4 linked regions of the Arabidopsis thaliana genome follow. The main gene of each other region encodes a partner of the protein of the gene in region 2 in a complex. Each region holds a gene or a part of one and is shown on either strand. Other genes may lie near its edges.

Region 1 (7,103 bases), 8.4 Mb from region 2:
TTAGGAGGTTGTTAATACCAAATTACCCTTAATGATTTTGAATATCAGAGAACAAAATCCAAAATTGAAATCAAAATTGAGGCCAAATTAAACAAACTTTCAATTTGTACTTCCCTTAAAATAATAAAGGGATATTAGTTATCATCCGAGAAACCTGGCGAGTATATGTTCTCACTGAAATATATGTTTTAATCACAAGAGAAACATCAACCAAGTTTATACTATGTCTGAAATAAATGTAGTCATATATGACAAATATACAGATAATACAACGTTATTTTACGTTATTTTTTTTTTCTTTTACCGTTAAAGTTCAAAATTTAATTACTAATGATGAACTTTTAAATATATTTACGTATAAAATAATCAAACATAGATTTAAAATAATTGTGACTATATGTCTCAAGTACAGTTAACTCGACCGATTAAAAAGATTATTATTGTTTGATTCTTATTAGAATTGAATTTTGGTGTTATGTTCTTTTTGTTAAAGGGTTTAGTTTTGGTATTATTAGGTTAGAAAGAGATATTGTACGCTTTGTAAAATCATTTTAATTAAGCAAATAATAATGTCTTGGTTGCCTCCAACAGACACTCGAACATGATTGTTTCTGTTAACTTCCGTTAATTTAGTTTTCTGATCACAAACACGAACTCGTGGGTCGGTTTATTTTTATTTCCGAGGTCAAATATTATAATGACTGACCGGGAATATACTTTCTTGATAAGAAAGTCATTATTTACACATTAGGGTTTTTAAGAGATTAAATATAATTTTCAATCTAAAGCATCTGCAATGATCATCAACTGAAGAAAATTATGATGAAAAGATTTGAGAATTTACATTCAACGACTAAACGAGTATGAATATATATGAATCAGATAACTTTTATTTTTAAAAATATGCATCATGATGGTCATGGCCTCATGGGCTATCAATTGTAAAGTCAAACCCTTTCAAGAAAACGTGGCAAGGTCATGTGTATGTACATTTGCCCACCAATGATTTGGTTCTATTGTTTTATGCTAATACGATGATTATTAGATAACATTCTCTTTGATGAGCACCATAAAAATCAGAAACTAGGTTTAAACTATTTTGGGTTGAAAAAACAAGTATAACTAGTTAGGTTGATAACTGTATACTGTATTTATAATAGAGCATTATTTCTTATAGAAACACAAACACATATATAATCTAGACAGAAGATTCTAAACATTTGATCGAACCATCGAAAATTTAATGTTTAATGGTTTGTATCATTAAGTGCCCCTTTTGTGAAACATTTAGTATTGAAAAGGGCACGTAGCTCCTTGATACTGGTAACGGCTTTTCCATAACATCAAAAGTTCAATTGGACGTTTCAAATCTAATCAATAGTATTTATTAGAGTAAATAAAAGATCCTCTTACGTTTTATAAATCTTATAAGTACACATGTTTGGAATCTCGGAGTATAAAAAGATACTTGGATAAGTGATGGCAGCTAATTGGATAAGTGGTGGACTTAGTTCAATATTTTTATTAAAAGTTTGCATATATATATATATATATATATATATATATATTTTAATAATTAATATTAATTAGAATTTAATTGAGCAATTTCGAGAATATTATTTAAGTTAGGTAAGAATTTTTTTGTACTAATTTATCTGTTTTTATTTTTACGAGAAATTAAAGATAAAGAAAAATTTATAAATTCTTTACTGTCGTTCTTTAACTCTTTTGAAATCGTTGATTATTCGGTTGGAGAAAATATCATATTTTTTATTTTCTTTTTCGAAATTTTGTTTTAAAAAATTATGACAGCTAATTACACGGCATGTAAAAAAGTAAAATATTTACTTTTATTTATATTTGATAAAAAAGGATGACATAATTTTCTGTAATCACCATAAGTCCATAACGTTTGCATTTAAATTATCAAAGACTAAGATAAGCCTAGAATAATTTAAAATGTAAACTATAGTATACGTCAGAACCTACAGATACAACCTTCCTCGTATAATCCCTAAACAGAATTTTAATTAAACATTTCCTTAACTAATTTACTTCTTAATTTAACTTTTAAATTCCTTCCACCATCGAATCACAATCTCTCTCTCTCTCGCTTGCTGTTACTCGCTTTTTCCCAGAACCGGCTTCGATTTTTCTAAAGCAGCCGAAATTTACGATTCCCAGAATTTTCCCTACTGACAAAATTTCACTTCAAATACAAATCTCGTCTTCATGAGTCTTCTTCTTCGTCCAAATTGAATTTTCTCCGCACACGAGAGTTGAATTTTGATTTTCGGCTGTTTATATGGTCTCCGGTCCCTTAGGGTTTTAATTCTTCTGCAGATCTCTCACGATGAGCGTTGCGAAATCCCAAGTATGGCAGCCATGCAAGAAGAAGAGGTCCTCCTCCTGATTCAATAGAGATCTATCTATATATATATAAGAGACCGAGATATATATATAGAGAGAGAGATGGCTTCTCGAACAACGCCTTCACGATCGACTCCTTCACGATCAACGCCTTCTGGTAGTTCTTCTGGTGGTAGGACACGAGTTGGTAAGTATGAGCTTGGACGAACTTTGGGTGAAGGAACTTTCGCTAAGGTCAAATTCGCTAGAAATGTTGAGAATGGTGATAATGTCGCTATTAAGGTTATTGATAAAGAGAAAGTTCTGAAAAATAAGATGATCGCTCAGGTATGTATTATACAATTCTCCAGCTGCTGTGTTCTTATTGGGAATCTGATTTACGCAGTTGTGATATAACCTTTGATTTTGGATTTTGTAGATCAAGCGTGAGATTTCGACGATGAAATTGATCAAGCACCCGAATGTCATTCGTATGTTTGAGGTTTGATTCTGATACTATAAAGCTGAATTCAAAGTTGTGTTGCACGTTTTGGTTGTTGTTGTTGTTCTATAGATTTGTGCTATAAGCTGAGATTCGTTTGAAGTTATGGAACATATTTGTGGTCCCTGGCTAATCATATGTATGTAATATAAGGGATTTGATTATTCTATGTATTTTTTTGGTATCTTTGTAGTTACAGATTCTCTTCTTCTTCTTCTTCTTCTTCTTCTTCTTCTTCTTCTTCTTCTTCTTCTTCTTCTTCTTCTTCTTCTTCTTCTTCTTCTTCTTCTTCTTCAGGTGATGGCTAGCAAAACTAAGATCTACTTCGTTTTGGAATTCGTCACTGGTGGGGAGCTTTTCGATAAAATTGTAAGATTTCATTGAAAGATGTGTTTTTTTTTTCTTAATACTATGTGGAAATGAGATCTTAATTCTTTAGAATTGTCATGTATTAGTCAAGCAATGGGAGATTGAAGGAAGATGAGGCGAGGAAGTATTTCCAACAGCTGATTAATGCGGTTGATTATTGTCATAGCAGGGGAGTTTATCATAGAGACCTTAAGGTTAGGAATCTTACTTTGTGATCCTCTTGCATAGGGTTTCTTGTGAATCAATTGGCATCAGAATAAAAGTTTGATGTGTTTGAATCATGTTGCACATTCTGGTTGCAGCCAGAAAATTTGCTTTTGGATGCTAATGGTGCTTTGAAAGTGTCTGACTTTGGATTGAGCGCTCTACCTCAGCAAGTTCGAGTGAGCATCGAGATATTGATTTCTTTTTCTATCATTTCATTGTAAATATCATAGTTCGATAATTCAGCTACTATGGCTTCTAAGGAGAAAGATTTCCATGATTTATTCAAAAGCTGATTTTGTGACCCTTTTTCTTTAGGAGGATGGGTTACTTCACACAACCTGTGGAACACCCAATTATGTTGCTCCGGAGGTATTAGCAACTGCTACTGAAAACTGACACACAATTTTCTCAAAACTTGAATTCTATTATTTTCTAGTCTCAGTAACCTTCTATATTTTCTCCCTAGGTAATCAACAACAAAGGTTATGATGGAGCGAAGGCTGATTTGTGGTCTTGTGGAGTAATTCTCTTTGTTTTAATGGCTGGTTATTTACCTTTTGAAGATTCTAACCTGACGTCGTTATATAAAAAGGTATTACGCTTGCCTCTTCTTCTTTTGCTTTTCTTTTGATACATATCATTTTACATGCTATCAGAAAGGCTTCAAGGTCTAGGTGCATTTGGGTGGCTGTATAAAAGCCTCTGTCATTTTTGTATGAGACGTATATAGCATAAAAGCCACCTGATTTTCTTTCTTCATAATTACAGATATTCAAAGCAGAATTTACTTGCCCTCCCTGGTTCTCTGCAAGTGCTAAGAAGTTAATCAAAAGAATTCTGGATCCCAATCCAGCAACGGTATATTTTTCTTACCCTATTATATAATTTATATTAGAGGATCTCTCCTTTGAAGAGGCAAAAGCTTCTATAGGATTGAGTAGATCTGAAGGCTTACACTGATTTTTTATATTGGGCAGAGGATTACATTTGCTGAGGTCATTGAAAATGAGTGGTTTAAAAAAGGGTATAAAGCACCTAAATTTGAGAATGCTGATGTCAGCCTTGATGATGTTGATGCAATCTTTGATGACTCAGGGGTAAGGCTAGTGTTCTTTTGTTTGTTTTTTTCGGTACTTTGTCCGGGATGATTGCTCAGTTGTTTTTGTTTGTTAATAGGAGTCTAAGAATCTTGTTGTGGAGAGGCGAGAAGAAGGACTCAAAACACCAGTAACGATGAATGCTTTTGAGCTCATCTCGACATCCCAGGGTCTCAATCTCGGTTCACTTTTCGAAAAACAAATGGTACAGAAGTCTGATACGTAAAGCTGGTCTTTAAATTTCGTCCCCCAAGGCTCTTATTTTGTTGACAATTTTTAACTATCTTTTTGCGGTTTTGGTCAAACCTAATAAGAAGTAGCTTTGCCACAAAATTTTAGTGACCAATACTTTTCTTTGGAAGCCCGTACTTAGTTTGATAGAAGTCGTCATTCTGATTGATAAGCTTCTCTGATTTCAGGGGCTGGTGAAACGAAAAACTCGATTTACTTCCAAATCTTCGGCTAATGAGATAGTTACAAAAATTGAGGCTGCGGCAGCACCTATGGGGTTTGATGTCAAGACAAATAACTACAAGGTTAGAATACTGTTACGTATTTACCCAATGCTGTGGAGTTGTGTATTGGTTTGTTGCTTCTGAATAGACCCTTTAACCATTTCTCAACTCCTTCAGATGAAGCTGACAGGAGAGAAATCAGGCCGCAAGGGTCAGTTGGCAGTTGCCACTGAGGTTAGCTTTCACAATGACCAGTGATCACCCTTTGTATGGTTGGCTGAACCTAATTTAAGTTAATTGACATCTACCTTCAGGTTTTTCAAGTTGCTCCATCTCTTTACATGGTTGAAATGCGAAAATCAGGGGGTGACACATTGGAATTCCACAAGGTATGCAAGGGTTATTAATGCTGATCAGGTTGTATCAAACCCGAGCTTGTCAAATGGTCTTCCAGTAACTGATGTTTGAATCTTTACCTTTTTGCATCCTTTCTTGCTCTTCTTTTAGTTTTACAAGAACCTTACCACGGGACTTAAGGACATTGTTTGGAAAACCATCGACGAAGAGAAAGAGGAAGGAACCGATGGTGGTAAGTATCTGCCTTGAATACTCTGTTTTTTAGATAAAGCTCCTAGAAAAGGAGAAACTAACGAAACATGTAAACACAAATCCTGTTTTGTTTCTTCATGTTTCAGGTGGTACTAATGGTGCCATGGCTAACCGGACAATTGCAAAACAGTCGACATAAGCTGTTTACTTTTTTCTAATATAGATTTTGTTCGTTATAAATTACTATAGTAGTACGGAGTGGTTTTGAAGTTAATACAAAAGGAAGCGTCAAGAAGTGGAGCAGAAGCAGTTTGAAACTATATTGGGGAATGGGGATTATTGATATTTTAATCATGTTTGATTCCATGGAATGTTGTGAATAGCATATGCGTGTTGCGAGGTTCTTGGCTTGAATCGATTAACCGGAAAGTAAAAGCTTTACAGATTTGGTTTTGCAATTTCTATATTGTCGGACGCTGAGATTCGATAGATATTTCAGTTCAAATGTACTGAAAACAAACTAACACTTGTGTGTGAACCAAATCGAAATTTATTTTCATAATTTTAAAACCTGAAAAAGGAAAGCGGACTGAAAACCAATATCAGTGTAGACAAAACAAACTGAATATATAGCATGACTTGAAGTTAGTGAGATTTTAAAACCAAAATCAAGGAAAGAAAAATATCAATAAAGATTATGTCGGACCAAATACTATAACAAAAATTTAGAGATGGAAAACTTGGTGGCCAAGTTACTCTGTATTAATAATTGAGGGCGAAGAAGATGTGAACAAGAACACCAATTCTTCAATTAGGGGTTTTGTTATTCTTCTGTATTACTCTCTTGTTTATTGCTAAGAAACAGGTAAGGCTGTAGCTAAGAGTGTGGAGGAGGAGGAGGTTGGTCTTCATAATTTGGAAACAACTAATGTGGATGTGGATGAGGAGTTTGTTCCTCACAGTTTGGATGAAGCTAAGGCTGTTGTGGATGTTGTAGATGTGGAGGAGGAGGTTGGTCCTGTTGGTTTAGAAACAGCTAAGGCTGTTGTGGATGTGGAGAAAGAGTTTGGTCCTCGTGGTTAGTGGCGGAGGCAAAGTTTTTCTTCATGGGGGTCATTTTATATATATATATAAAGTATAAATTGTTTCAAAATAAAACTAAATAGTCTATTTTTTAATTGAAATATATATATATATATAGTTTTAGAAATGTTTCACTTTTCAATTAGAATATGCATGTTCTTCATTTTTTTTTGGTTTTCAGTTGTATTAAGTATTTTTTATCCTCAAAATATTGTTTTTCTATCAAAATGTTTAGTATAATGTGGAGATTGATTAGTTGTTGTGTTTACCTTGATCTATGATTTTTTAATTAAAGAGATCGAATGAATATGAAAGATGTTACAGATTTTTAGCCAACAAAAATGAAAAATCAAAACTAAAGTTGTGGAAAATGAATATGTATGGGGTCAAATACAGAAATTGATCACATGACATGGGGGTCATTCTATAAACTTAACCCAAAATATCTACTAATTAATATATAAACTTACCTTATAATAATAAAAATATAAA
Region 2 (4,854 bases):
TTTAAAGTACGGAATTTGATGATCAAATTTTTTGTTGTTGATCAAAACGTAGAAACACAAACTATATATCGATCGCCCCCGTGAGTAGTACGTATTATTATTTCAAAAGTAAATGATTTTGCAGACTTGCAGTTATTCATTTATAAGCGAAACGTTATCTTATGCAATGTTTACATTTGCAACACCAATTAGCTTCTTTTTTTTACAGTTGAGACTTGAGAGACACATTAAAGCTTGTCATCGTTCACTGGAGAGAGTAGAGTGTGTGAGAGACAAAGTGACCTAACTTCACTGCAACAGTAGTCGGTAAATATCCAAACATAAGAGCTACGATGGTAACACGTGTACGGTGGAGGAAAAGAGAGCCCTCAGATTCCGTTATAAAGGAGGTGAGACCCACTCGCCGGAATGGAAACAAAGGAGAAACGTAGAGGTAAATGGTTGGGCCACTGCTTCACCAAAAAGCCTTTTCTATCTTCTTTTTATTTTTGTTTTGTGGCTTTTAACGGTTAACAATATAACTCCTCATTCCAAGACAATTACGTGTCCTCTGTACGGCTTTTTCATTTTTCACTTTCTACTTCATAGTGACTTTAGGGAGGCCTCAATTTTTAATTACTCGAGGATTATTTAGGTAATCATGAATGTAACTACAGCTTTACAGGTAATTAAACAGATGAGATTTAGTTGCGTGAAATCTAGCTGATCTGGTGCTTATATCAAATCCAATTGATGGAGACAGATTTGGACTTAAATTCATGATTGTATTTGTAATCTTATATACGTTATAGTTAAATTTCTTTCTCTCCGTACGTACTCTAACTATAATTATTATTAAATGCTGAACGCAATGCTTTTGAGTGCTGAGAATCTTTTTGGTCTGATTCAAAAATGATGTATTAGTACTCTGAATTCAATCTTAACTTCTGCAACGAATCAATGTATTAATTTATAGGAGATCCGGATAAAATTATGGATATATGCACGCTACTTCTTTCATTTTTAATTAGGTAAATGGTTATAACTTTATTTTATATATCAATTAAATGATTTTGGTATGAGATTACTAGTACACTTTCTTTGCAAATGTTTTAAACACGACAAGACAAAAATATTACAAGCATATTTTGGTAAAAAATATCATAAGCTTTCATATCAAAATCATTAGTTATGATGTTAGATTTTTTTTTTTTTTTTTTAACACTACAAAAAGCTCTGGTCTTAATATGTTAGAAATTTTAGTCCAAACCAGCCTACAGAGGATTTAGCTAAACAATTCCCAAGCACCTTTTAAGTGTTAACCGAAATAACGTAATATGATGTTAAAGGTTACATAAAAACAAAACTAAAGAATTTTCATATGAAAAGTTAACGTACGTGTCTTAGTGTAACCTAATTTTAGTTCACAGTATATAAATTCTTTAATGAGATGATCGCAAAATCGCTGTATACAATTTCGTACTTAATTCGTTAGTCTTGAAAAGTTGACCTAATTTAGATCAAATTAAGGTTAACTACAATAAAAATTTAACTAACGTAATGGGATTCTTTAAAATTAAAAAATCGTTGATTAGATAGATATTTTATCTTTAAGGGAGACACAGAGACAATTTGGACAAAAAAGGTCTTCCTGAGAAAGAAGTGGACCACAATCGTGGCGCGAAAGGAACTTCCTCCTCCCCTCTGTTGCCTTGTCATTGGGCCACGTATATCTCCACCTGATCGTGATGCTTACGTGGTCCATTTCTAGATACTATAGTGACCAGATCAACGGTCAAGATTGATTCTAATTTAGACGAAAGACCAACACGTCACGTCGCTAGAGTAAAAGATTTTTTGAAGGCGGAGGGAGAAAAATCAAAAGTTAAAAGTAATTTGAAAACGAGGAAGAGAAAAAGGAATTTTAAAATGTTTAATGAAGCGGTAGGCCGCATGGGTATATAAATGGGCACGCTTTGTAACGTGTAACGATGATATTTATTCAACTGCGTGGTATAACCAAAAAAAAAAGAAACACTATTCGACTCTTTTTTTGTTTTTGTAATAAACATAAAATAAATTTTGGAGAGAGATATTTCGTCGGAAATTAATTGACGTTCAAAAGATTCGTTACCGGAATATTTAGTAGAGGCGGCGATCGAGTTATGGCGGATATTTGTTATGAAGACGAGACGTCGGCTTGTGAATCAAGACCGTTGTGGTCTAGCCGGAAGTGGAGGATCGGTGTCCAGCGATTCAGGATGTCTCCGTCGGAGATGAATCCCACGGCGTCGACGACGGAGGAGGAGGATAAATCTGAAGGGATTTATAATAAGCGAAATAAACAAGAAGAGTACGATTTTATGAACTGTGCATCGTCGTCACCTTCTCAAAGCTCTCCTGAAGAAGAGAGTGTATCACTTGAAGACAGTGACGTCTCTATCTCCGATGGAAATTCATCGGTTAATGATGTTGCAGTTATTCCGTCGAAGAAGACGGTTAAAGAGACGGATCTGAGGCCGAGATACGGCGTCGCATCGGTGTGCGGGAGAAGAAGAGATATGGAAGATGCGGTTGCGTTACATCCGTCTTTTGTACGGAAACAAACGGAGTTTTCTCGAACAAGATGGCACTATTTTGGTGTTTACGACGGCCATGGCTGTTCTCACGTACGACGCCGTTTTACCCTAATTTGAAAATTTCAAAATTATTGATATATTTACGGTTTTGCCTGATTGAAATATACGATGTCGTTTTTGTAGGTTGCGGCTAGGTGTAAAGAGAGACTTCACGAGTTAGTGCAAGAAGAAGCGTTGTCGGATAAGAAAGAAGAATGGAAGAAGATGATGGAGCGTAGCTTCACACGTATGGACAAAGAGGTTGTTCGTTGGGGTGAAACTGTGATGAGTGCTAATTGTAGGTGTGAGCTTCAAACGCCGGACTGTGACGCTGTTGGATCCACCGCCGTTGTCTCCGTCATTACGCCGGAGAAGATCATTGTTGCGAATTGCGGTGACTCAAGAGCAGTTCTTTGTAGGAATGGTAAAGCAGTACCTCTTTCTACAGATCATAAGGTCAGTCTTTATCTCTTTCTAACTCTTTCTTGATTTGTTTGATTTAGTGGATTTTAACTCTTGTTTACGTTTGAAAATGAACAGCCTGATCGTCCGGATGAGCTGGATCGAATCCAAGAAGCAGGAGGACGAGTGATATACTGGGACGGTGCAAGAGTCTTAGGCGTTTTAGCCATGTCACGAGCCATAGGAGACAATTATTTAAAACCGTACGTCACTTCGGAGCCGGAAGTGACGGTTACGGATCGGACTGAGGAAGATGAGTTTCTGATTCTAGCGACGGACGGGCTATGGGACGTAGTGACGAACGAGGCAGCGTGTACGATGGTGCGCATGTGTCTCAACAGAAAAAGTGGTCGTGGAAGACGGCGAGGAGAAACACAGACTCCGGGGAGGAGGAGTGAAGAAGAAGGGAAAGAAGAAGAGGAGAAGGTGGTGGGGTCAAGAAAGAACGGGAAGAGAGGAGAGATCACGGACAAAGCATGTACGGAGGCGTCAGTATTGCTGACGAAGCTGGCGTTGGCAAAACACAGTAGTGACAACGTAAGCGTCGTCGTTATTGATCTCAGAAGAAGAAGAAAGAGACACGTTGCTTGACACTAATCTCCTCATCACTCTTACTCCACCGTTTTTTGTGTTGTTTAAAATGATTCTTTTACCTTGGGACGAAGGTAGCTCAAATCTTTGAACCCAAAAGAGAGAAAAAAAAAGCATTAGGTCTAAAAAAAAAACCCCGGTTTACTGAAAGCGGTTAAACCGGGTATGGTTGGGTCTTTTTTGTTCTGAACCTTTTTTTCTTGCCTTTTTTCGGTGTGTAATGAACAAACAGAAAAGGAAGCCGGAATGTGTCACTGTCTAGGTGGAATCAGTTCAGAATTCAATTAATAAAAAAGTATGTATATGTTTTCTTGGCTTTTAAAGCAAACCAATTAACTCGGATACGCGTGGTGATCTTTGAGAACATCACCGGGAATTTTCAGTTTGTTGATAAAGATTTTAAAATCTCTATAAACGAGTGGGCCTTTTTGGTGTTGGAAGAAATTCAAAATCTCACGGAAACGAAAAGAGAGAGAAGATAATTGGGAAGAGGACGGAGTACGTGTCGAAGAGGTAAAAGTAGAAACCCTACACCACGTAAAGAGGATGTGACACACCGGAACGATGCATATGTTAATATGCGCATTCGTACGTGTCGGTGTCGGTGTCGGGTAATTGATTGAGATCTGAATATGAACCTAATCAGACTGTTTTATCTAAACATGATCACTGGTCTGATGGAAAATCAAAATTAACTTACCTGTCATGTAATGTAAGAATTTTATTAAGAAGGAAAATCGAACCAACACTCCCAAAGCATTTGGGCCGAGAATTTTGGGGTATTATATTTTCATCTGAATCCTATAAGGCTATAACCTACCCAAAAATTTGGTAGCGCAACATCTAAACTTGATACAGAAAAATGAGACAAGGATATATTAAGCTTCAAATAGATGACCCATACAAAATGTTTTAATTGCCCAACCTAAACACATACTGAGTTGAAGTACCATATGTTTTTTCAAATAGGCCACACGAGCAGCAATTCTAGTCAGACATAATAAACTAAGACACATGAGCGTTGCAGCAACCTGAAAGCAAAATGTTAAAGAAAAGGAGAGGTTGCAGAATAAGACCTCTCTAAGACAAATGTACTCTGCAATCCAAAGTGGCAATTTCACGTTTGTTTCATGTCACCGTTTTCTTTAAGGGTCTTCAGTCTTCTGTACCCCTTGTCAGTACCAAAGATCCTGAAGAACACCAG
Region 3 (5,437 bases), on a different chromosome or scaffold from region 2:
AATAATCTGTGAATCAGTGAAAGTTTATCTCTACTGAACTACTGATCTTCAGATTTTGTAATCTTTCTGCTTTAAAAATCTCTATGAAGTAGTCTCAAAGATAATGTATCGAAGGTCTTTGACTTGTAAAGCAGACCTATTTCGTTTTGACGCTTGATAATTTAATCAATAAGAGATTTTATTTTTTTTAATATGCTTTCTACTGTTAATACATCATCAAATAGTAGCGTTTCCAGATGGATGTTTGTGAAAAGTCATCAAGTAAGTCATATTTGTGAATTAATCAAAACCGCACTTCATCAACCAACCAACCAACCTCCAAAGAATTTGGGCTTCAGTACTAACGTCCTTTAAGGGTGTAACACATTACTGCTCTGCTCTTATTGCCGCAACTAATTTGACTCAATTTTAAGTACAAAATGGACCATTAAACTGTTGTCACTTGTCAGGACCACCGGCCCAAAATTAGTAGGGACCTTAGGACAGTTTGATATTAGTCTTTTAGTAAAAAAAAAGTTTTTTTTGTTTATCTATAAGAAAATACAATATTTTTTTAATAGATCTTAATTTTCTAAAATATCAACAGTCTATGTTTATTTTTGTGTCTGATTTAAAAAAAATTAGTTAGTTATCAAAACTTAAAACAAAAATATTAGGTCCAGGACTTTGGCATCTCCCACTTTCTTGAAAAACATGGATACTGTATGGACCTTCTTGTTTACTATTGTCATAATCTTTTTTCTCATAATCTTTTTACTATACTCATAATCTCTCCTCCTCATAATACATCTCCCACTTTCTTAACACCTCATAAGTCTTCTCATAATCTTTTTACTATCATAAAAGTTTCTGCTTGTATTGGAATGAAAGAATTTGACCATTTAATTTGGAATTCTAAACCCAATATAAAATTATAAACCACTCTTACTAGAGCCAGGATCCCAGTTTCAAATTTAATATACGTAACATGCATGATTTGGCCATGTCTTATGGATATGCTAATCCATTTCTTTTTTTTAGGCGAACATTATATAGTTTACATTATTGGATTGTTGGATGGCGTACGTACTTAATTAGTTTCAAAATTTGATAATATACATGATTAGATCATGTCTTATGGTTTATATAAAAGTAATTATGTTAATCCATAATTCTTATTTAGACCGCCTTTATACTATTGGATTTTTGTTTGTCCTACGTGATTGATTAGACTACTAAAATGTGACCAGAATTATTATAATTCTTCGTTTATCCCAAAAGGTATATGACCCATATTGAAATTATTATCAAACACACTCTACATGAATCTTGAATATATAGATAAATACAGTAATTAGTCCCCTTGCTAGTTGGGTTATCATATTAATATTTATTTATTGCAAGATCTTGAAGACTATGAGATCTTGACATCTGTATGGATTATGAAAATGAAAGATCCAATTTGAAAATTATATCTTATACAAATAAATATCATTCTTAGTATCTTTTGAGTATGTTAAATCTTGACTCTACAAGTACTAGTTACCTCTCTACACTTTTTTTTTCTTACAGTTATAAACTTACATAAAAACAAAATTCGAGTCTAAATATTTTTCTTTTAATAAAAAAACAAAAACAAAACAAAATCATTGCAGAATTGTAAGAAAACTTGTAAAAATGATTAACTTTCTTAACCAATAAAAAAGGAAAGTTGAAAGTTGAAATTTCGAAACTAAAATGTCAAACAACAATAATGGCTTTGTTTTCTTCCCACACTGTAATAAAAATAAAATAAAAATGGGGTTGGTAGAAAAAAAGAGGTAAAAATGACAAGGATGTGTTTCACACGCGTTCAGACCCTCACACGTGCGACGATCATGTTATAAACAAACTCTCTCATAATTTCCCCAATCGGAGGCCTCTGACGAACAAAAAAAGCCCAGCAAAGTCTGAAGTTAATCTCAGCCGTCCGATCAATTCATCTACCATCGTGGTCAGAGATCTTCTTCTTCGTCTCTCTCTCGTTTCTCAAAAATCAAAATCCCTTCCTCTCTCTCTCTCACCGAGCCGGCGAGCCCGTTCTCTCGGTGGTAAGTGCTCAATTTTTCGATTTCACCATTCAGTTTCTGGGTTCGGAGATTCTCGAGCCGCTCCTACATTACCTGTTTAATTTCCGATTTAATATTCAAAATTTTGTTAATCTGAATTCGATTGCCACATAGCTGCTGCTTATTTTTTCTAGGGTTTATACTTATTCAATTATCGTGTTCGTCTTTTAATTCAATTTTTGTTGGGTTTTGTTTTTGATTGAATCATTGTAGTTTTTAAAGATGCTTATGATGATGATGGGGAGTGAGTAATATCAGAAATCAAGCTTTTTCACAATCTCAGAAATTGTAGTAGAGTTTGGCGATTTTATCAACCTCCGGAACAAGCTTCTTCTTCTTCGTTTTACTCTTGTCATCCGTAAATGGGTTGTTTCCATTCCACGGCTGCCAGAGAATTTCCCGATCACGAAAACCCTGTGAAGCTTGCTTCTGAGACTGCTTGTAAGTTTACTTGCACTATACGTTTCGTTTTCTCTTCTTTGCTTTATTCTCAAAGAGCATGAGCATAAAGATCTCTCTTTTATCAATTGTTAACTGATATGAGAATCTGTTTTCGCCATTTATTGAATCCGAAAAATGGTTCTTTCATTCATAATCTATTTGATCTACAACTTTGTTAAATGATGCTTGTTGTTACTTAAGTCATCACATAAACCTATTTCAATAGTTTCTTGGATCATTAGTGTAGTTTACTTCTACTTTCAAATGGAATCTTAATCAGAGAAAGTTTTCAAGAACCATCACTTTCGATTTTTGTTTTGGTGATATACATGATGTTGATGAGAAATCTCGCAGTGTGGCTAATTATTTGTTTGTTTTTCTAGTTAGTGTTAGTGAAGTTGAAGCATTGTATGAATTGTTCAAGAGCATAAGCAGCTCGGTTGTTGACGATGGCTTGATAAACAAGGTAATGATAAATCTCATAGCCCTTTGATTATTTCGCACCTCATGGGAGAATCTTGAATGCGTGATGTACAGTGACATAATAATATTCATTGCACCATTATCCATATTCCGTATTATTTGTCAACTTTCTTGACTTTCACAAATTTATTATTGAATCTCCATGCTGAGCTGTGGGCTCCTTATTGCTCACCAAGTCTCTGTGTTGATGATAGTTGACTTGAATTTTAATTCCATTTTTTATATTGGTTTGCTTATAAAAATTGATGTTTTCTTGGCCCACTCTTGGATATTGTTACTTATTTTCTCGACCAACTTGTTATGCAGGAAGAGTTTCAACTTGCTTTGTTCAAGAACAGAAAGAAAGAAAATTTGTTTGCCAATAGGGTAAATTCTAAGTTTCTTTGGCCTTAGTAACTTTGTAGTTAGTCGTAACGATTAGTTCTATTATAAGTAGTTAATGGTAATGCTCTTTTTTCCAGATATTTGATTTATTTGATGTTAAACGAAAAGGCGTAATTGATTTTGGAGACTTTGTGAGATCACTCAATGTTTTCCATCCTAATGCTTCCCTAGAGGAGAAAACAGACTGTAAGTTGACCCATAAACGAGTTTATATCCATCGTCGTTTCTCTAAAGCCTTGCTGTACTTTTATTCATGTTATTCTGTATTTCATATATCAGTTACCTTTAGGCTTTACGACATGGACTGCACAGGCTTCATTGAGCGCCAAGAGGTAAACAATGGTCCTATATCTTCACATTCCATTCCCAAACAATCTATGTTTCAAAGACTTTCAGTATTATGGATTCTGCATCATCTATAAGTAATCATAATTGTGTATGCGTTTTTGGCAGGTGAAGCAGATGTTGATTGCACTTCTCTGCGAATCTGAAATGAAACTGGCTGATGATACAATAGAGATGATACTTGATCAGGTTTACTTGTTGTCTATTACAAGTTTGTTTTCTGTCAAAAGAAAGACTGTTTTATGAAACTCGAGTTTTTTTTTCTTTTCGTGAACAGACATTTGAGGACGCAGATGTGGATCGGGATGGAAAGATTGATAAGACAGAATGGAGCAATTTCGTTATCAAAAACCCATCTTTGCTTAAAATCATGACTCTTCCGTATCTCAGGTATGTCTCCTTACTATGATACTTCCATCTATTTGGCCAGTTTTGGTGCCATTTTCCAAGTTTGAGGACTTAAAAACTCAATTTTAGGGATATAACGACGACATTTCCGAGTTTCGTATTTAACTCGGAGGTGGACGAGATTGCGACGTGAAAGAGACAAGACAAGCTGGTTTATAGAGACCAAGTCGTAGGCTGGACCAAGAATAAAAAGAAGATTGATTCCAACAATGTTATATAGCAGGATCGAGCTCTATTTCCTTTGGAATTTTTAGTCTATTGGATTTCAATTTCATGTATTGCGATTACTTTTGGCTCTCTTTCTTTAACAGTTTTGAATACTCAAGTTGTAGTTCTACGAAAAGATTAATATAAAACCACAATTTCTGATTAAAGATTTGATTTTGCTCATAAATTATTCCAACACTTTATGTTTTATGTAACGAGAAATCAAAGTCAAATATGCTTAGACAGAAGAAATTAGCCATATAAATCAATTTATTATTATTAAGGGAATTGAAAACTTCAAAAATACCAAAATGAAACTAAAATTATAATCAAACCAGACCTGAATTTATTGTAACCGATAAATCCGAATTGACGTGTGTGGTGCCGGCTTTGAGATGAAGACAGACCAATGATGATCCCAGTAGCTAAAGAACTCAAGCGGATTCAGACATTCCATGCTGTGGAGTGATTCTCTCTAATCCCCCTGTACGGCGACGCTTTTACATATCCTCCATGTTCTTTGACTACAAAAGCCAAGTTTGAGGATCATTTAGTTGAAACTCAAGAGTTCAGACAAGAATCATTTGTATGAAACTCAAGAGTTGATACCAAAAAGAAATTTCTCACGGAAGATGACACTTCCCCTGGCACAATCTAGATGAGCGTGATAGTGGGACGTTGTCCATATCTAAAAAAAGAAAAATGGCATGGTATAGAGAATCCCGGAAATACGGAGAAGAGGTTAATCTGTTGTATAACCGCAGATTCGACCTCGGATTAGTACTGTATTGTACTCTATAATTGCGCTTAACTCGCAAGTTTATGTTCATGGTTTTTTTTTTCCTTTTAACTCTGTGTGTGCACTTATCCTCCATACTATGGGTGTGATTGGTAACATGAGTTACCATGAGTTATATATGCTTGCACAAGTGATCTATCTTCTACACCTAGCCACATACGTTTATGTTAATGGTACACCTTAAAAATTTGTGTATTATAATGGAAGAAAAACTTAGTTCATGTCTATGTTCAAACTTCCAAAAAAGAATATTGGAATTTTGGTTTTCCCTTTACTATTTCAT
Region 4 (6,164 bases), on a different chromosome or scaffold from region 2:
TCTGATTCTGATTCAGATTCAGCTACTGTAACTGATGATCCAGTAAGTCCTAATTCTTTTACTCTCAATTCAAGCCAAATCCACAAGTTTTCTTGGACCATAAGGTTTAATCTGTGATAGCTCTGTTTTGATCCACTAAGGGAATCTGATGTCGAATGTTGTCTATTAGTCTCGTTTATGATTGAAAAGGACTTAGATTTTGAGTTTTGATTTGGTTTTGCAGGAGTGTTGTATATGTTTGGCAAAGTATAAAGACAAAGAAGAAGTAAGGAAGCTTCCATGTTCACATAAGTTTCACTCAAAGTGTGTAGATCAATGGCTTCGTATCATCTCTTGTTGTCCTCTCTGCAAACAAGATCTTCCAAGATGACAAAGCAAATACCCTAAAAGCAACAAAAGCTCAATATAATTTTTTTCTTTCTCAGTTTTTTTTTTTTTTAGTTTTGGATTGAAGCAAAGTCGATTACTTGTGTGAGTGTCAAATTTTTTGTACATAAAGAGCTCACCAGTAATCGTTATGTACATTGTGAGTAGATGATGCAAATCACAATGGCAACAACTTTATAGAATCTTAATATAGTGTTTATACTACATATTTTGTTTTTTCTCTCGTCTCATTTACATATCTTGATGTATATATTTTTTTATATGTTCAATTTTTTTTTTTGCAATTTAAAACTGAAAACCCAAACATTACTTCATTAACTATCAATTAGGATGTCGGTTTTCTTAAAAGAAATATTTTTATAGCATTAACTATATCTCATAAGTATAAAAGTTTTGGACATGGCATCTAAATAGTTGGAGTCTTTGAGATGGTTTTGACTTCAGCTATATAAGTAAGTCTTAGGGTGTTTAATTTAGAGTTTGAATTTTAAGCCTTTGAGTCTGTCAAAACCTAAAATAGGCACAAACCAAACAAAAACAATCAGATGTTTTTTTTTGGTTACAGAATCTTTAAATTAGACTGTTCTAGATTCTCAATTGGCACTAACACAACTAAGTATGTTCCTAATTGGTTGAAAAGTCATAATATTTGTCCTTGCACAAAATGTGTAAACCATAAAAAGAAGAATAAAACCTCCAAGTCAAATATTTTCTACTAATTTACAATAACTCTTTTCTAGAATACTAACCACCAATAACTTAAAAAAGCAGTTTGTCAACAACATCCAACGACTATTTTTAGCTGCCTTCTCTCACAAGTCACTATTATAAATGACCTTTTGGATTCATTAGCAAGAAACAACACAAATCATTCTTTACCTTCATAACAAAAGTCACTATAGAAATTACCTTTTGATTCATTAGCAAGAAACAACAACACAAATTCATTCTTATTTACGTTCGTCAAAACCATGACGAAAGAAAACCCTTCAACCCTAAATCTCGGACAACCTAAGGCACAAGAAAAGTATTCCACAAGTTTAGCCAAGATCAACCCTAAACCCTCCGGTAGCTCTACCGTTGAATCGAAGAGCCAAGACAATAACTCACCTAGTTTAAAACGTTGGAGATCGTCCTCCGGTAAATCTACGAGGCTAAATTGTTTATGTTCTCCGACGACACACGCCGGTTCTTTCAGGTGCAGGTATCACCGCGTTGATTCGTTGACACGTGCCGGGTCTATTGGGTCGAACCTCGCTGTTTTATTGTCGTCCAAGTCGAGCCGGTTTAGTGACTCCCTCAAGGCTCAGTAAACCCGGTTACTGGATTTGTTCGGTATAATAACTGTCGGTTTTGTTATTTGTTTGTTTCTTCTACTTCTTCTTTTGACATTGTTCAATAATTTTTATCGAAAAAGACATTGGTCTGTATTACTAAACCGCTTGAAATCGGCTTAACCCGATTCAAGGTAAACTTTTATCTAATTTTCACCAATTTGATTCAAATTTAAGCATTTATTACATACACATTTTATATGCTTCAAAAATACTTGAAATGAATTTTTCTGTCTACATTTTATATAAAGAAAATATAAAATAATTTTACGAAGTCAGAAATAATACGCAATATAATATATTTTTGCAAATTTATATATATTGTAAACGTTTTGATGATCACATTATTTTTAAAATTTCTGAAGATATAATTGAACTTATCATTTCGGGAGGTTCGATTTTATATGTTACTTGTCAAAAATTTAAAATTTGACAATAGAAAAAAATGGCTATATCACATATTATCTTTGATTTTGTATGATTATTTTGCATTTAACATCGTAAAAAATGTACTAATTTGAAGATTTTTTGAAAACTTAAATTCTCCAATAGCACAATAGATCATATATTCTATGGGTGAATGTGAAATTCAAATTTATGTCCGGTTCAATTCAGCTCGAGTTTTACTTAACCGGAACGAAAATCAAATCGAACCGTATTTTGAAGAATAAAACGACGACGATTTGAGCAGATTTTTCAGGATTTAATTTGTAATAATGCAAAAAGATTGAGTTTTTGTTGTTTGTTGAGATATTTAAAAAGATTCTTCAGGTTTTAATTTGTTTTCCAACTCTCTCCTCTGCTTTACAACAAATCGTCTCCGTCTTCCTCGCTCAGCTTCAACAACCAGAGCCGACTTGAGATTGAGAATCAACGTAATCGGTAAATTTTCGTATACGCAAATCCATTCTACTCATTTTGAGTTCACTTACATATCAAGATTCTTCTATCTCTGTTGAATCTGCGATTCACGAATCCATTAGGACGATTTTTGGGGATCTAGATCGGGTTTTGTTTCTCAGAACCTGTAATTGATTGTGTAATCCTTGAGTTCATTAATGTATAAATTCAAATTTCCCAATTTGGGTTTGTTTCTGATGGATTTTATTAATTTTGTGTGTCCATAAATTGTGATGTTTAAGATTAAAATTTGGTTAATGAGCTTTGATTAAGTCTTTAGATTCTCCATTAATTTTCTTATCTTCTTCAATATTGTATATATTATGTGGACATAACTGAATCATCTGAATAGTAAAATCATGATAATGACTTCAGTTTCTAAGCAATGTTTGTGTTGCCTATATTGACTGACTTATTTAGATTACTCTGAATTTTGCAACTTGTGTTACAGATACTCTCGCAAAGTCTCATCCTTTCTCAGCAAAAAACACTAGGAAATGGTTGAAAGGTACAGTGTTCTTCATATGCTTGCTTCTGTAGAGCTGTTTTTTGAAATTAGCAAAACAAGTTCACAATGTTTTATATGCAGGCATGGAGAGTTTTGATTTGCTGCTTAAGATATATCATGTCGCAGTGCGTTGACGGTATCAAGCATTTATGCACCTCTGTTTTAGGGTGTTTTGATCTTGATTTGTATAAACAATCTGGTGGCCTTGGAGATCCTGAATTGCTTGCAAGAGACACTGTTTGTATGCCCTATCACCTTCTCTACTCTTTTTTTTTTTTTTTTTTTCCGGTTATAAGATTCGATGCAATACCATTTGAGGAATGCAAAAATATTTCTTCTGAAGACTATTGATGATTGAATTTGGTTTTGGAATGCAGTTAGTGTGAGTGAAATAGAAGCTCTTTATGAGCTTTTTAAGAAAATCAGCAGTGCCGTGATTGATGATGGGCTAATAAACAAGGTATAACTCTAACTTGTTTGATCTTCTTCCTCATTTGGTAAAGCTTTAGTGATTGATCTAACAATCTGTCTAATTTACTCATCTCTTGTTTGTATCAGGAAGAGTTTCAGTTGGCTTTGTTTAAGACAAATAAAAAAGAGAGTTTGTTTGCAGATCGGGTAATGTTTCTTTCTTCACATTATAAGTGTTCTTAAACCCATTTTTGTCAAGATCAAGTTTAGAAGAAATGCTGAAATATGTGATTTTGTTTCTAGGTTTTCGATTTGTTTGATACAAAGCACAATGGAATACTGGGGTTTGAGGAATTTGCTCGTGCTCTCTCCGTCTTTCACCCAAATGCGCCTATAGATGACAAAATTCACTGTACGTCCCTTTTAGCTTGTATCTCAAAAACAAGATTGGGATAACACATTAATGATATATACTATTTTTTTGCAGTTTCATTTCAGCTATATGATCTTAAACAGCAAGGGTTTATCGAACGGCAAGAGGTAAAGCTTCCATATCTTCAAATAGCTTCATATATAACCTTGTAGAAGTGCGCTTTATTATCCTCACTGACATTTTCGTCCATCATTTGTCCAGGTGAAACAAATGGTTGTCGCTACGCTTGCTGAATCTGGAATGAATTTGAAGGATACTGTCATTGAGGATATAATCGACAAGGTAAGTTACTTACTTTTTTTCCTCTTCACCCTATATTTTTTCTTTGAAAGTAATTTCCCGAGTTTTGAATGTTTCAGACGTTTGAGGAAGCAGACACAAAACACGATGGAAAGATCGATAAGGAAGAGTGGAGAAGCCTTGTTCTTAGACATCCCAGCCTTCTGAAGAACATGACTCTTCAATATCTCAAGTGAGTTCCAAATCTTTCTATTTATATAACCAGGATTGAATCTATTCAACCAAATTCCTTCTCTGGTTTCTCTTTCTTCTATTCTCCATGATATGTAATAAAGGTCGTGATCCTGTTGTGTGCTTGCTCTGCAGGGATATCACGACTACGTTTCCAAGCTTTGTGTTCCATTCTCAGGTTGAAGATACCTGAAAAAGCAAAAGCAAAAGCAAGCAGCGGCAAGACATCATTGTATTGTTGAAGGTTGTTCTTTCGTTATGGTTCTTTATTTGTTACATTTCTAAATCTCTGAACTCATTTTATTTTTTATTGAGCTTTTTTTGTGAAGCAAAATTCTTCTTTTTAGTTTGGTTTTTGTCCTTTTTGATTTCGCTCGGTCTATCTGTAGATACAACTTTTGCATCTTGATGTTATGGTAATGTAAAGTTTTTCAGTTTATTTATTAATCCAATTAAAAAGATTTGCTTCAATCTCTGTGTTTTGGTTATTAGAGTTAGCTTTTAATATTAATTCAATGGATTTCTAGATTGCAAGCAAAACTAGTCATTTCATATGTGACTTGTAAGCAAAACTAGTCAAAACTGAGTGATGTCACCAGCCCTCCTAATGACGAGTTTTCCGAGATCAGCTCCACAAGAATCAACTTACATGATGACAAAAAGTGGATCTTCGATGAGACGCCATTAGAGAGAAGAGGAGATGATCTTACCAACAAGGGTATACGAAAGCAGAGCTTCGGGGGATGGTTGAGAAGCAGAGACATGAATAATGTTCTTCCAAAAAGAAGAAGAGGTGAGAAAAGGGAAAAAAAACCTAATTGAAGAATTAGCGATTTTCCCTCACCAAGAACCCTACATTAATACAAAAGGAAGTGACTTGCCAATCAAGTTTCCCATCCATTGTAGATGAGGGGAACATTGTGTTTGTAGTAAGGCAATGGAAGAATGACTCATTTATGCTTCAATGACTTCCATGTTCTTTCTTGAGGAGAAGGAAGACCATTCTTCTTGTTTTGCTACACAAGACTGAAATAAGAAACCTCTTCTAAAAGTTCTTCACGCTCCATGTAGACTATCTCTTTCTCCAAGGAGCGCTTTTCATTTAGAAAAAGCAACTTTTACTCTTCATCTTATCTTCGGCCATACTAGACGCAAACTCAACTTCAAGATCAAACAGTGCTTCTAAAGCCAACTCAACTCAATAGCCATACTTCATGCCGTCTCTTCAGCTTTTTTATCTTTCAAAGGAATATTTCATTAATATGATTTAGTTTTTATTTTATATACATCATTTTGACATATATATTTTTGAAAATTAATTTTATGCTTTAAACCACAAAAAAGTTTAAGTTTGGACCTTTCACATTTAGGTTTCAATTATTGTCTACATGTTTTCATAACTATATTCACACAAATAACTAAAATCTCCTCATAGAAAAAAGATTAATTGGTTTGAAAGAATAAAAAGAGTATAAAAGATTATTTTTCTATGGTTAAAAAATATGAGAGATTTGCCTTGGAAACGATAGTTAAAATTCAAAGAAACTAAGCTTGATATAACTACAAGTTTCGTACATAAAAATGTCGAAATTGTTAGATGTAATGAAGCCAACTTTAGCTTGAAGCCTCACCATGTAATGTTTTATCTCGCCGGAGAAAAAAAAATTCATTTATCGGTGAAATTAATTTATAAGACCAACTAAAACATCAAGCACATTAG

The links.
Region 1: HAI2 (region 2) and CIPK23 share a complex: the UniProt entries of both Arabidopsis thaliana proteins name them as parts of the K(+)-channel calcium-sensing kinase/phosphatase complex.
Region 3: HAI2 (region 2) and CBL9 share a complex: the UniProt entries of both Arabidopsis thaliana proteins name them as parts of the K(+)-channel calcium-sensing kinase/phosphatase complex.
Region 4: HAI2 (region 2) and CBL2 share a complex: the UniProt entries of both Arabidopsis thaliana proteins name them as parts of the K(+)-channel calcium-sensing kinase/phosphatase complex.

The regions. Positions count from the first base shown.
Region 1 is NC_003070.9:10,652,798-10,659,900, forward strand, and holds CIPK23 (CBL-interacting protein kinase 23), read left to right. Parts: upstream 1-2,002; 5' UTR 2,003-2,472; coding exon 2,473-2,697; intron 2,698-2,788; coding exon 2,789-2,851; exon of another isoform or gene 2,852-2,990; intron 2,991-3,148; coding exon 3,149-3,220; intron 3,221-3,306; coding exon 3,307-3,414; intron 3,415-3,522; coding exon 3,523-3,603; intron 3,604-3,742; coding exon 3,743-3,796; intron 3,797-3,893; coding exon 3,894-4,019; intron 4,020-4,195; coding exon 4,196-4,285; intron 4,286-4,404; coding exon 4,405-4,524; intron 4,525-4,603; coding exon 4,604-4,729; intron 4,730-4,943; coding exon 4,944-5,060; intron 5,061-5,156; coding exon 5,157-5,213; intron 5,214-5,293; coding exon 5,294-5,368; intron 5,369-5,486; coding exon 5,487-5,568; coding exon of another isoform or gene 5,569-5,585; exon of another isoform or gene 5,586-5,674; coding exon 5,675-5,727; 3' UTR 5,728-6,103; downstream 6,104-7,103. UniProt on the Arabidopsis thaliana protein: CIPK serine-threonine protein kinases interact with CBL proteins. Binding of a CBL protein to the regulatory NAF domain of CIPK protein leads to activation of the kinase in a calcium-dependent manner.
Region 2 is NC_003070.9:2,279,947-2,284,800, reverse strand, and holds HAI2 (highly ABA-induced PP2C protein 2), read left to right. Parts: upstream 1-1,972; 5' UTR 1,973-2,144; coding exon 2,145-2,648; intron 2,649-2,741; coding exon 2,742-3,053; intron 3,054-3,137; coding exon 3,138-3,650; 3' UTR 3,651-4,055; downstream 4,056-4,854. Other genes in the region: SMO2-1 (sterol 4-alpha-methyl-oxidase 2-1), read right to left, coding at 4,768-4,840. UniProt on the Arabidopsis thaliana protein: Involved in the negative regulation of the K(+) potassium channel AKT1 by its dephosphorylation, antagonistically to CIPK proteins (e.g. CIPK23). Functions as a positive regulator of abscisic acid-mediated cell signaling during seedling growth.
Region 3 is NC_003076.8:19,128,740-19,134,176, reverse strand, and holds CBL9 (calcineurin B-like protein 9), read left to right. Parts: upstream 1-1,872; 5' UTR 1,873-2,069; intron 2,070-2,300; 5' UTR 2,301-2,449; coding exon 2,450-2,528; intron 2,529-2,911; coding exon 2,912-2,994; intron 2,995-3,317; coding exon 3,318-3,377; intron 3,378-3,472; coding exon 3,473-3,581; intron 3,582-3,674; coding exon 3,675-3,727; intron 3,728-3,848; coding exon 3,849-3,929; coding exon of another isoform or gene 3,930-3,986; exon of another isoform or gene 3,987-4,017; coding exon 4,018-4,130; intron 4,131-4,217; coding exon 4,218-4,281; 3' UTR 4,282-4,537; downstream 4,538-5,437. UniProt on the Arabidopsis thaliana protein: Acts as a calcium sensor involved in abscisic acid (ABA) signaling and stress-induced ABA biosynthesis pathways. Contributes to the regulation of early stress-related CBF/DREB transcription factors.
Region 4 is NC_003076.8:22,668,943-22,675,106, forward strand, and holds CBL2 (calcineurin B-like protein 2), read left to right. Parts: upstream 1-2,170; 5' UTR 2,171-2,603; intron 2,604-3,072; 5' UTR 3,073-3,129; intron 3,130-3,210; 5' UTR 3,211-3,246; coding exon 3,247-3,370; intron 3,371-3,506; coding exon 3,507-3,589; intron 3,590-3,687; coding exon 3,688-3,747; intron 3,748-3,843; coding exon 3,844-3,952; intron 3,953-4,027; coding exon 4,028-4,080; intron 4,081-4,174; coding exon 4,175-4,255; intron 4,256-4,332; coding exon 4,333-4,445; intron 4,446-4,579; coding exon 4,580-4,637; 3' UTR 4,638-4,688; exon of another isoform or gene 4,689-4,913; intron 4,914-4,971; 3' UTR 4,972-5,158; downstream 5,159-6,164. Other genes in the region: AT5G55970 (RING/U-box superfamily protein), read left to right, coding at 1-42, 224-370; AT5G55980 (serine-rich protein-like protein), read left to right, coding at 1,359-1,700. UniProt on the Arabidopsis thaliana protein: Acts as a calcium sensor. CBL proteins interact with CIPK serine-threonine protein kinases. Binding of a CBL protein to the regulatory NAF domain of a CIPK protein lead to the activation of the kinase in a calcium-dependent manner.